Regions from separate parts of the Mus musculus genome. Here all the other regions are reported to be linked to region 4. Evidence: microRNA targets listed by miRTarBase, many of them from high-throughput screens and not tested one by one. Region 4 holds a microRNA gene; each other region holds the end of a gene's coding sequence.
The links. Region 4 holds the annotated microRNA mmu-miR-721 (CAGUGCAAUUAAAAGGGGGAA, at 1,560-1,580, shown strand). A microRNA usually pairs through its seed, bases 2 to 8, with sites in the 3' UTR of a target mRNA and lowers its output. Matches are read on the target gene's strand: a 7mer-m8 pairs with bases 2 to 8, a 7mer-A1 pairs with bases 2 to 7 and ends in A, and an 8mer does both.

Region 1: miRTarBase lists Inpp5e as a target of mmu-miR-721. Seed matches in the 3' UTR shown: 7mer-A1 at 1,292-1,298.
Region 2: the mRNA of Arrdc3 is a reported target of mmu-miR-721. Seed matches in the 3' UTR shown: 7mer-m8 at 1,562-1,568.
Region 3: the mRNA of Meox2 is a reported target of mmu-miR-721. Seed matches in the 3' UTR shown: 7mer-m8 at 2,287-2,293 and 7mer-m8 at 2,131-2,137.

What each region holds. Positions count from the first base shown.
Region 1 is chr2:26,395,221-26,398,220 of GRCm38, forward strand. Inpp5e (inositol polyphosphate-5-phosphatase E) reads right to left here. Exons shown (of 10, transcript NM_033134.3): 10 at 1,029-2,751. The coding sequence ends at 2,619. It overlaps Pmpca (peptidase (mitochondrial processing) alpha), which reads left to right. Exons shown (of 13, transcript NM_173180.3): 13 at 199-1,901. The coding sequence ends at 368. Among named protein-coding and RNA genes, the nearest start is that of Pmpca, 7.4 kb to the left of the region's middle.
Region 2 is chr13:80,892,781-80,895,996 of GRCm38, forward strand. It overlaps Arrdc3 (arrestin domain containing 3), which reads left to right. Exons shown (of 8, transcript NM_001042591.1): 8 at 590-3,216. The coding sequence ends at 646. Among named protein-coding and RNA genes, the nearest start is that of Arrdc3, 11 kb to the left of the region's middle.
Region 3 is chr12:37,177,724-37,180,939 of GRCm38, reverse strand. Meox2 (mesenchyme homeobox 2) reads right to left here. Exons shown (of 3, transcript NM_008584.4): 3 at 1,406-2,787. The coding sequence ends at 2,563. Among named protein-coding and RNA genes, the nearest start is that of Agmo, 62 kb to the left of the region's middle.
Region 4 is chr5:136,374,141-136,377,356 of GRCm38, reverse strand. It overlaps Mir721 (microRNA 721), which reads left to right and starts at 1,554; the gene lies at 1,554-1,641. All of the region lies in intron 4 of Cux1 (cut-like homeobox 1), which reads left to right.

The sequences.
Region 1 (3,000 bases), not on the chromosome of region 4:
AAACAGACAGACGGATCTCCTGTTGTCTGCCATACCACAATCCCCGGCTTCCCCAAAGTCCTTTGCAAGCTCCATCCTGTACTAATAGGCTCCTCAGCCTTGGGAAGGAGGCATCTGGTCACTGTTTGAGTGCACACAGTTTGAGATGGAGTTGGAAACTCCACTCTTGCCCTCACTGTCTTTTACTCTCTGTTGTAGGCAACGTGAAGCCAGAAGATATCAAGAGGGTTGCTTCCAAGATGCTCCGTGGCAAGCCTGCTGTGGCTGCCCTGGGTGATTTGACTGACCTACCCACCTATGAGCACATCCAGGCAGCGCTGTCCAGCAGAAATGGACACCTGCCCAGATCATACCGGCTGTTCCGGTAGAGTCCCTTAGAGCTGGCTGTAGAGTGCTTGTGTGCATGTTACTGTTGGTGTAGACACTGCATAAGGCTAGCTAGCTGTGTGAACAGTGCCAACAGTGAAACTCTGGAAACTTGAATGAAAGTTACTGTTGCCACTGCACTTTTGTGTCTTTCAAACACAAGTGGCTTATTTTTCATCTAACAAGTATTTTTCCTGAGTATCTGCCAAAGCAGGTGCTGTCTGGCCACTAGATGTTTCTGGAGCAAGGAAGGCTGGGAAAGATTAGAAAGTCTTGGGACTCTAGGGAGACAAAGCGCCACACTCTGAAAGCACACAGGGCCTACCCATTGGTAGAACCACTGGCATAAATTGTACTCATTTTTTTCCCCTTCAAATAGGATCTCACAGTAAAACCCTGAGTGGCTTGAGACTTGATATAAGATATACTCATCTCAAACTCAGAGACCCTCCTGCCTCTGCCTCCCAGGTGCTAAAATTATAGGCAAGTGCTACCACACCTGGCCTCATTTCTAAAGCTTAAGTTCTTTAACAAGCCTAAAGGTATTTCACAATCTTCTCCTTTGTTTTTTGAGATAAAATACTAATTAGCCCTGGCTGGCCTCACAGTGAGCTTGTCTTTGCCTCAGTTACTGGTCTTTCTAGTAAGAGTCACCATGCCAGTTGTATCTCACAATTATTTACAAGTCCAGTTTTAATTTCCCACTTCATCTGCACTAGTTTACGTGTTTAACTTTTCCAACTGAAATGCCCTCTAAATGTAAAGGCTATCTAAATGTAAATTGCTATGGCTGTACTTTGCCCCCCGACCCCTAAGACTTTATGATCTTGATCTTGGGCCAAACTGGGAAGTTCCAGGATTACCTCAGTCTTTTCTAAGGTGCCAGAGAATGTCCACAAAGAAGCACCAAACTGCTGGGCTGTGGTAGTGCACGCCTTTAATCCCAGCATTCAGGAGGCAGAAGCAGGTGGTTCTCCAAGTTCGAGGCCAGCCTGGTCTACAGAGAGTTCCAGGACAGCCGGGGCTACAGAGAAACCTGTCTGGAACTCTTACCACATCAAACCTTATTCAAGCCAGGAATAGTTGAGGCAGGATTATGAAGTCCAGGGCAGCCTGTCTGGGAGAGAAAAGGCTGTCTTCCCAGTAGAATTTGCAGTTCACAGTGGTTTATTGAAGCAGGTGACTTTCCATATTGGAGAAGCTGATGCTGTTGAGTTTCACCTTATTCGTTGGTTTATTATGGTTCACTGGAGTCCCAAGTCGTCACTTTTTCCAGCTATTGCTGCTTCTGGCTGTGAGCAGGGACAGTACCTAGCAGAAAGACCTGGGATGGGACTGAGTAGCAGGTGACAGCTGAGACCAAATGTTTGGCCTTTGACTTCTATGTCCTTTTAAAACCCTGGGGTGTCCTGAGGCCCCAAGATGCATGCAGACTTCTTCCAAGGTTCACTCTTTGGCCAGAAAGAGTTTACAATTGAATATATCCTTATTTATTTAAAAATATAAATATGGAAAAATAAATGATTTAGAAGACTAGAGTGGATGCCCCTAGGTGTCTGTACATTCAAGGCTATGTCTGAAGGGGTGGGGTAAGATTGAGAGCAATGATGCTCCTAAGCTTTCTTCAAGGAGTGAAACCCAGCAAGGTGCTGTCTGGTAACAATTTCTCATGCCTTTCCGGGACTAGCAGCACAAAAGCAAATGGTCTGAAGCTCCTAAAAACTATGAGTTTAATATAGCTAGGCTTGGCCTGTAGAGTGGAGAGGTCCCTACTCAACTGGGGGTTGGGAGCCTGGGACCAGGATGTAGAACCTCAAAGCCTGTCAAAATGTCTGTAGGGAATATCCCAGAATTGAAGTCCTGGCAGGTTCTAGGCATTGAGCATCTAGGATACCAGAGGTTGCCTGATCCTTCCCTGGAGGGAAGGAGCTACTAGGAGGATACAGATGGAGAACCTGGGCTCTAGCATGAGAACAGGAATAAATAAAAGGAGTTTGAAGAGACAGCAGTGCTCAAGGGCAAGAAGTCTGGACTACTCCTGAGGACAAAACTGCTGCTTGGTGTCCACATGCCCTGCCATGTGCCTGTGGGAACATGGTATAAATGTCCTGAGGGCTGGGTCTGTGGTGAGAGCAGGGAGCCCCTGGCCGTGGTGGATTAGAATCCCAGCATTACAGGAGCAGCTGAGAAGAAGCCCATCCTTTGCAGTGACCTTGGCCCCCGTTGCTGTGGCCAGTCCTGGTCTGGAATCTTCAGGACACGGTGCAAACTGCACTGGAGCTCTGGCTCTTCAGTGCTTCCTGTCTCTGAATCTCCTTTGAAATCCGCCTTTTAATTCCTATCAAGTACAATTCTCGGTCAAACTTGCCGGCAGCTAATGGGATGCTGTGAAAAAAAGACCTTTAATAAGAGCTGGCTTTGCCAGGCGTGGTGGCGTTTAATCCCAGCACTCGGGAGGCAGAGGCAGGCGATTTTTGAGTTCGAGGCCAGCCTGGTCTACAGAGTGAGTTCCAGGACAGCCAGGGCTACACAGAGAAACCCTGTCTTGAAAAACCAAAAAAAAAAAAAAAAAAAAAAAAAAAAGAGCTGGCCTCAACTTCACTCAGCTGCACACCTGCTGAGCCCCATAGGAAA
Region 2 (3,216 bases), not on the chromosome of region 4:
CAAGATGATTATAAGTTACTTTAAAACTTGTACAACACTAAAATAGCTCTGGAATGTAACTTAACTACAAGACAACTGGCTGTTTTCTTCAGAGATGTGTATTTTGTGGAAAACTTGTGAGGTACTGTGGGTGTCTGACATTTAAGTTCAAATGGATCAGACTTGTCCAGAAGACCCTTAAGTTTCACAGGAGCCAGAGACCCTCAGGAAAAGGTGCACTAGCCTTTAGAACAAGAACAAAAGAGTCACTTTACAAAGGACATGAGCGGTTTGATGCTATATTCCAGTGCTATATCTGAGTGTACGCACCGCTGATGTTGAGTGAAACTGCCCTGCTAAAAGAGAGCCCGCCAGGAACTTGTGTGCAATTGAACTATTCATGCAGAACTATAATGCTAGTAGTACCCTTGCGTTCTCATGTAGCACTTCCGAGGGAGGGAACACCAGTGTATAATTAGCCTAAGAAGTTATGTATAGCCTCTGATTATATTGGTTATATTTGCTGATTGTTACTGAAAAGCAGATAAGTGTTGCATTCTTCCTTCACCTTACCAAGTTAACTTTGTAAATTTTATCTTATTCCTACTAGATTGATCCAAATCCTGATCAGTCATCCGAGGACAGACCATCATGCCCCTCTCGCTGAAGCAACACTTGACTGAGTCAAGTTGACATGGGTTCTGAACTGTATCTCTTCCAGCTGAGGACAGAGAAGTATCTTGGAGACACGTTTGCAGAGGAAGTGGAATTGCCTTTGCCCAGACAGATGGCAAACACATGAAACAACCAGTGATCATGCTTTAGAATCCTACAGCATCATTTGGGGCTGTTCCAACATGCTTGAAGATCTGAGCTTTCCTTCTTTAAAACTGGCACATGTTAAGGGCAGTCTTCTTAGCCTGTGGTCATCCGTGTCAAGACACCATTGCAAAGAAGGATGTTGTCCTTCCTATTTGAAAATTTGCACATGCTCAATGCTTACATTGTGCAGTTCAGTGTCACTACAGCATTTTTTTTCCATTTATGCCAGACTCTTGATACTCTTACAACTTGTTTATGGTCAGCACAACATGGAACAAAAGAAAGCTTTGAAAAACTTTGACATTAAAAAAACAAAACAAAATGCACTGACAGGTTTTTTTTCTTAGTTTTTTGTTTTGTTTTGTTTTTTGGGTTTTTTGTTTGTTTGTTAAGTTAATGTAGCCTGGACTCTACCTGCATATGCACATGCTCAGAATTGTCCTACTAGGCTGACCATGTATCACCTCTTCAGCTTGGATCCTACTGTGGATTTATTTACAAACATCAAATGCCTTCAAGCCAATCCTTTTGCTGTATGTTTTGCAGCCTACTGTAGTAGATAAGCAACAGATACAAGGAGAAAAGAGACAAGAGGAGGAGGCTGACAAGAGACTTTGTATGGCTGTTGTTTGGTTTTCTGTGAGAGTGTTGCCTTTCTACTATTGATAGCAGAGCAGCCTTGTGTTACTGACTGCCTAACATCACTCAATCTCAGGTGAATGCATCACTTGCCAAACTGTTGGAATGCCGTCTATGTTTGTTGCACTGTTATGTTGTTGTTGTTGTTGTTAATTGTTGTTATTTGGTTGGATTTTTTGGAGAGGGATATTCGGAAATGGGACATACACAAAACTGATAACCCACCCACATTCCCCTTTTTATCATTACATATAAGAAGAAACAAAGCTCAGAGTGGAGAAAGACAGTAGGGCGGGCACCAGCAGAGGCAAGGGCTGTTGCTCTGGAAAAATATTTTTATTATTTTAAAAACGAGTGGAAGCTGCCCGGTCACTAGGGAAGGGAGGGAAAAGTGCATTTATTTTTATACAGAGTTACTTAATTACCTCCAAAACACATATGTTGGAAATCAGTTTTGCTGATGCAAGGTACTTCAATAAGCCAGAATATATCAAGGTCATGATGGGGGAAGCTTCATTTATACATTTGCTCAAGTTTGAGAGAATAAAATCCCAAATTTGTTTCCAAAGTGTGTAACTTTATAAGTAGAAAAACTAGAATGTTTGCTGGGATAAGTAGCTTTAGTTTGTACACGTGTATAATATTGTTTTTCAACAATTTTTCCTGTCATCTAAGAAACATTGATAGGTCTCTAGCTTTGAGTATATATAGGTAGAGCAACACATGAGTAAATTATTTTTAAAGATAATTTATGGTTGGATTGTAACCATATACTAACATTCATGAAACAACTAAAACCCCCACCTTCTCAAAGTACAAAATAGAGTGATTTTGTAAGAGTTGGCTTGTGTTCTTAGTGACACCAGCATCTCTGATGTTACAACATCATGTGTGAGATGGAGCTTGTCATCTGCCCACCTTGCCCTCTGCCCCACAGTTACAGTGCCTGAGAAGACTCGGAACGCTGGCCTGGTGCTTGACCTGGTTAAATACTGTCTTAAAGCTTCATACAAAATAGGCTTTTCCATAAGTGGCCTTTAAGAAAACATGGAAGATAATTCATGTTTGAAATAATGCTGACAGGGTGAAGAAAGCCCGTTGTAAAAATGAATCGCGTTTTAAGTGATTCAGTTAAAGGGTTTGTGCTCCCATAGCAAACTAATACTAGATAATAAGGAAATGGGGTGAATTATTTTTTTAATTGTTAAATCATTTTGTGAATGTCCCCCACCCCCAGAAGAAGCTGATGGGATATTTGGCATAAAGGGCATTTGGTGGTTTTGTTTTCGTTGGTAGGGATTGTCTGAAAACACCTGACTCTGTGTTATGTCTAACTAGGGAACAATTGTTGGTGTGCATGGCCTTGGGCACTCACTACCATGTTCGACAAAGTACTCTATTAGCAAGAATGACCAATATTCTGATTAATTGGCACTGGTGACAAAATTCTTTTACGATTTGGCAAAATAAGGTTTTACTTTTCCCATTAATTATTTCTTTACTCTTTAGAGGCATTATACTTCTAAATATTGGTCAATTCTTGACATAACACCTGAGGGCCACAGTCATGCTCTAGTATTCAAGATAGCTTCCTAATTTTTCATTTAGGAAAAGTCAAATCCAAAATGTTTGAGAAACAAAGTGCAATATTAAATGTTTGCTTTATAGATTATATTCTATGGCTGTTGTAATCTTTTATTTGGTGCTGAATATGTCCTTGTAGGCTCTGTTTTAAGAAAACCATGTGGGAAATGATTTAACTTTTCCTATTGCTCT
Region 3 (3,216 bases), not on the chromosome of region 4:
CTTGCTTCTGTGGAATCAATTTTTCATTTTAGGATTATTCACAGGGAAGTATATTCCATCCTACTCTTGCCTCATTTCATTTGTGAATATCTTGTGTATGTAGAATAATTACCATTATAATGATTGTATTGGTCATAATAAGCTCTAAGTCTGATTTATAAGTGTTTTAGTTTCACAACAAACCTTATTGCTCTCTTTGGTTACGTCTAACTTTCAATTTCTCATTATTTTCATGCCTAAATGAATTATTTCATACCCTTTTCCAATTGAATTCAATTTGATTTGTATCTTTCTTTTACCCAATTTCTCAAGATATTTCATTTTGAACTCAATTGTAAAATAAAAAATGTCAACCCACCAAAGTATATATTAGCAACACAAATATACTTTATATTCATTCAAGTGATTGATAAGAAAATATGTTTATGACAATGAAAATGATATATTTGTCCATATTAATTCAGAAATATTGTTCTATAGTGAGATGAAAATTATTGCACAGATGAAAAAAAAAGTGACTTTTTCCCTGAATACTATTGGTATCACATTAGGATAAATTAAATTAAACGTGTTTTACTAGTTTAATCATTCTAAAGAAAATTCATCAATCACATATTGTTTATTTGGTCGAATTTTTACTCTTTTAATATAAGTGAGGACTGGTAATATTCCTGACTCCTTCTGAGTCAAATGAATAATGAACCAAAAGCAAGGTGATAAAGTGATAATAACAGGGGTTTGTCATCCAAGGTCCTGACACCCTCTTAGATGTGACACTGGCTGTGCAATGAGACACCTTATTTTTCTTCTATCAACAATGTCTGTTAGAAGTGGGGTTCTTTTTACGTTTGTTCATCTCATATTTCACACCAAAGCTAGAGATCATGAACGTGAAGCATCTATTTGCAGACTGGTCAGGGAGTTCAATGGTAGGGCATATATCTACCGCGAGTGAGTTTTTGGGTTTCTCACTAAGTACTGAAAAGTTAGATAAGTATAAACTAAAAGTGTTGGGCTAATGCCCATGCATTACCTATAGCTCCTGTAATATGTTTCCATTTCATTTACCTAACATTGCTCAGTATATATATGCCTATTCTTACAAATTTTATGCCATAATAAAAACCAGAAATTATGAATCTTATTTCATAACTCATATCCATTTAGATTTACACAGAAGCAAACAATTTGGAATCTTTTTAAGCATCTATTTTTTTCAAATCTACTAAAATTAACTAGACATGGTTGATCCAGTCTATGATTCTGGCACCTGGATGACTGAGACAAGAGATTGCTGAGAGGTCAGTGCCAAGCTGAGTCACCTAATGACATCTAGACCAGCCTTGATCCCAAATAAAAGAATAAATCTACCAAACCCAATGAAGTCACAGTGGCGAGACAATAATTATTTCAAGGATCATTTATTTATCTTTTTTTTTTTACAAAATACAAGAACTTGTTCTGCATGAATATAGAGCATATGAAAAATAATGCACTTTCAGAGTCTAATTGTCAGACATTCAGTTTCTCAACTATTCTCTTGAAGAATTAGCTTTGTTTGGCACTTGGTTTTATATCATAAACAAGGAGGAAGAAAGCTTTTCCCTGTTAATTGAATCAGACCCATAAACATTAACAACTTAAAGATGTAAAATCAGACATTTGCCGCACAAGACTCGTTCTGCAAGGTAACTGATTTGCCTATGATCCTAATGTCTTTCAAGATATAAGAGAAGAAGGCTGGAGGGGAGCTAGGTATGTTCTCTAATGTATCTGCAGCAGTTGATAGTCAATGCAACAGAAGATTTGCTTTGTCTGTGGTACAAGGATATGTCCTATCAGACTCTACTGCATTTTATCTACTTGAACACAAGTAAGCACATACTGATTTTCTCTGTCTGACACAAATGTATAAAAATACAAGAAGCTGGCTGTGTTTGTCAATGGAAAAGCCTATTTTTAATCAGCTAATATGAATGCATTTGCTAAAATTAGTGAAGACAGGAAAAATGACTTAGGGGTAATATATACAGAGTTTCAGTACATTTTATATCCACTTGGTGATTTCAGGCACTGTGGCTGTTCAAGATAAACTATTTCATGGATTAACTTGATAGCAGTTTAATTTTCAGTGCAAGCAAAAGCAAATACCTGCCTAGTGTCACACACATGACCTGGCACAACTGGAATGTTCAAAGCATTTTTTATTTTTAACATCTTCACTCTGGAGACATCTTGAGTAAAAACGTCTTATCAAGTTTGCTCTTGGTAGCAAATTTAATTTTCAGTGCAAGCCAAAGCAAACATCCATCTCCCTCTCTGTCATATATAGGAACAAGTGTATTTGGAATACGTTCGCTTTCTCCAATTTCACTGTGGAAGCATCTTCAATAAAAGGCACTTAGTGTAAACCGTCTATCCATCATGAGACACAGACTCGAGATGCCTGCATTTAATTATACTAAGCCACACTGCCACAGACATCTGCCATGTAAACGATGTTCGGTAAGGTTTGCCATCACAATGGTGCTTTCCTGAGAATGGAGCTGGTCTTTGTAGGTATCATAAGTGTGCGTGCTCAGAGCTGTGGTCACTATCGCGGCTGTCCTCGTTTGCTAGTGAGTCCCCTGTCTGCTGGAGGGTGGCTGCACCGATTCCTGACAGCTCTGACGGAAGAAGCGTTCCCTTTTTCACATTCACCAGTTCCTTTTCTCGGGCAGCAGCTCCTTGCTGTCCCCCTTTGACCCGCTTCCACTTCATTCTCCTGTTCTGGAACCACACTTTCACCTTCAAAGAGAGGGAATAAGTAAGTCAGCAAAGGCAATAGGACCTAGTTGCTCAAGTGCCTGCGCACATACACCATGATGCAGCAATTAGAAAAAACAGGCAGGATTGCAGTGAGTTAGATTGCATGTGCGTAGTAATGGAAAAGGCTTAGTACATTCAAAGAATTATCGTAAATTCCAACACATAACACAAAGTTACAAATAGGCGAGGAAGTTTGCTCGGAAGCATTGGAGTGGAGTTTCTCATCGATCAAATAAAATATTATGTTTACCTCTATCAAAGTTTACACATTCTCTGAAATTCATCTTTGACTTGACAGTAGAATTTTTACAGGTTTATCTGCTGGTAAATCCACCTCTGAAAGCGCACTATTTACTACGAAAGTCCCTTAACTTGGAAAGGCATGAATTATCTCTCAGCACATCCTTT
Region 4 (3,216 bases):
GCATACCTGTTGGCCTGGCCAGCTTTCCTTCCCATCCCTGTCCCTGGGGGAGATGCCAGCGCCTGACACATCTCAGCATGCCTTCCCCCAGCTTCTGCAGGGATGACTAGAATTAATGAGCTAATGTTACCTCGCTTAGCAAAATGTGCTGAATAAATCCAGGTGATAGGGTTGTTTGTTATATAATTATGCTGTTTAAGGTCCTGAGTTGCATAACGAACTGCACACTACCTCCAAGCCTGCTTCAGGAATTAACTTATCAGATGATCGTAAAATGTTTTTTGAGTTTGTCATGGTGGGTGGATGTGGATAGTGGCAAAGCATGTTGGGTTGGAGGCTGGGCAGGTGGCTTACAGAACTCCGCATGCTATTCTGTCTATGGGTGTTTTCTGTCTCCTCCCTCAGACAATTCTGTAATTGAACTGCTGAGTTGAGAGGCTTCTGACGTACAGCCTGATACCTAACAATGCTTGTATGGAGTTTAAATGGCATTGGAAATCGTTAACGAGACAGAAAGCTATGATTTCCCCAGCTTAACATGCAGGTCCGGGTTTGGCGTGCTGAAGTTCATTGTTTTGGTCTCCAGCTCAAACATGCTAGGACTATTATACCATCATGTGGTAATTAGCCGTTCCTTTAATACACATAATAAAAATTAAGCCTAAGAGCTACTTTACCAATGGCTTTTACATATCCCAAAACAATATTCCAATGCTGTAGGCCTTTAGTCATACAATGTACCATCGTAAAGTTGAGTCTAATGCACCAAACTATTTGAACATTCAGTTCCTTTTCTATTCTGTGGCCAGTTTTGCTACTTTGACATTAACTTTAGTACTGTTAAATTAAATATAGATGCTATAATGAATAATTACAAGAGTTCCAGAACTTCCATTTACAGTGGGGCGTGCTGAGAATTTGTCTTAAGGCGTAGTTGGTTACTATTTGCTCATAGCATGTGTGTTCTCTTCATATGTTACTGGATTCCTGCTGAATGGCAAGATGGAAGCTATTTTTTCATCAGAAGCAGACACACTGGGTCCTGGCCTTTAAATAGGGATGGCCTGGAGGGGCCTGGGGAGATGGCCCAGCCAGTTACGTGTTTGGCAAGCATGAGAATCCACATTCCATCTCCAGTACCCATGTAAAAAGCTCCTGTGAGTTCCTAACCCCTGGAGCTGGGGAGGTAAAACTGGTGGATTCCTGGCCTAGCCAGGCAGCCTAGCCTACTGAGTGAGTTCCAGGCCAAATGAAAGACACTGTCTCAGCAAGGTGGAGAAAGATTGTGGAAGACACCCATCATCAACACCTTTCCACACACACACACACATGCATGTGTACAGAATGCAACCTTAGCTCCTGAAAAGTCAAATTGGCGCTGGCAGCTCCTAGACTGTTCTGCGAGCATAGCTCCTTCTCCTCCTTATCCCTGACCTGGATCAAGCTCAGATTGTCCTTCTGTATAAAGGATGTTGTGGGCATAGTGCTCATTTCTCTCAATCCATTTCCCTAGCCTGAAGACATGGAGGGCAGAGAGAGATTCAGGTTTCCTGGGAAGACAGTGCAATTAAAAGGGGGAAAAAAGTACCTGGGATGTTCTGAGAATTTCATTTTTCTTGTTATTGCCACTCCTGCTTGGAAGAACTATGTTCCCAAAATAGCTCTAGCAATCTAGCATAACATAAATATTTTAATGCTGATTAAAATAATAATGAAAAGTCATGAATGAGAAAGGGACTGTGTATAGAGGCCGCATAAGTGCCCACCAAGCCTGAGAGTCACATGATGGACAGTGTTGGTGTTAAGCCCCAGTGCTGGGCTCCCTCAGGGCTGCAGACTCTAGCTCCACACGTCCTGGTGACGCATGGAGTGAATGCTGTGAACACACTGACATCCCAGAGAATTCCAGGCCAGCCCTTGCTTCCAGGAACCAGAGGTGGTCTGAAAAATTAATGACTCTGGCATGGAAAGTTAAGTGAGTTCTTGAATATATACCCTCACTGATCTGCCATGTGTGATGTTTAGCATTCCTTGAGAGGAGACTAAATCTCCACAGCCATCCCTAGGCGAGGCTGGCGCCCCTGCCACAAATAGATTCAGTAATCTTTCTAAGCCCTGTGACTTGGATATTCTTCTATTCTCAGAATTCCAAAGGGTGTGTTCCCCTGGGGCCCAGCAGGTGGGTTATAATTACCTCCTAAAGAGAAGGAAAAAGGAAGATCATATTGACTGAGAGCATTTACTGCCGGCCTGCCTGCCTGCCTGCCTGTCTGTCTGTCTGTCTGTCTACCTTCTACTGAGAATTCTTGGGAAAGCCAGAGGCCAAAACCCAGTCCTATAAATTGCCTGTGTGTTTTTTCCAACTGTAGACTAAAATCTAACCCTGAGTAAATCTGATGGCAGACATCATTTCTTTGGGGGAGGAGGGCCAGTCTGTGTAAGTATAAAGGAACATAGATGTGGAAGCCAGAGTCAGCTTCATGTATTGTTCCTCGGGAGCCATCAACTCTGTCTTTTGAGAGAGCATCTCTCACTGGCCTAGAACTCACAAACTGCAAGGCTAGCTGGCACTGAGCTAGAGAATTCCACCTGTCTCCACTGCACTACTGGGATTACCAATGCCCACACTTGGCTGCTTATGTGGGTGCTGGGGACTCAGAACCATCTCCCAGCCCCAAAATCATTTTCTTTGTCCACAAGGCCTCCCAAGACTTGTCCAGATGTTCTTTTGCTCTCTGTATTCTAATGGGGAACTTGGTGCCTTTCCTAGCTGGCTGGCCACAGGCCTGCTATGGGGGTGATACTGTGCTTTTATAGGTGCCCCTACTTCTTAGAACTAGCAGCTAGCTTCATGCCTCTGATTGTTCTTAGCACCCAGCATTAGTAAAGGACCATCATGCTACAGATAGAGTTGGGGATAGACCTTCCACAGACTTCAACAAGCACAAAGCGCTGATGCACACGGCTCTGGATTTAATACACAACAGCACATGATCTAAATGTGGTGTTACCTCTAGTCCTAGCACCTGAGAAATGAAGGCAGGCGGATCAGAAATTCAAGGCCAGCATGGTTTACATGAGCCTCTGCCTCAAAAAGTAAAGTAAAATAAAGAAAAGACAAGGGCATGGACTTACAGAGCCCTAGGGCACTTTCCTTTCTCCAAGAGTTTCCATGTATATATAGAATGGTGATCACCTGGAGTCAGCAGGCTTAGT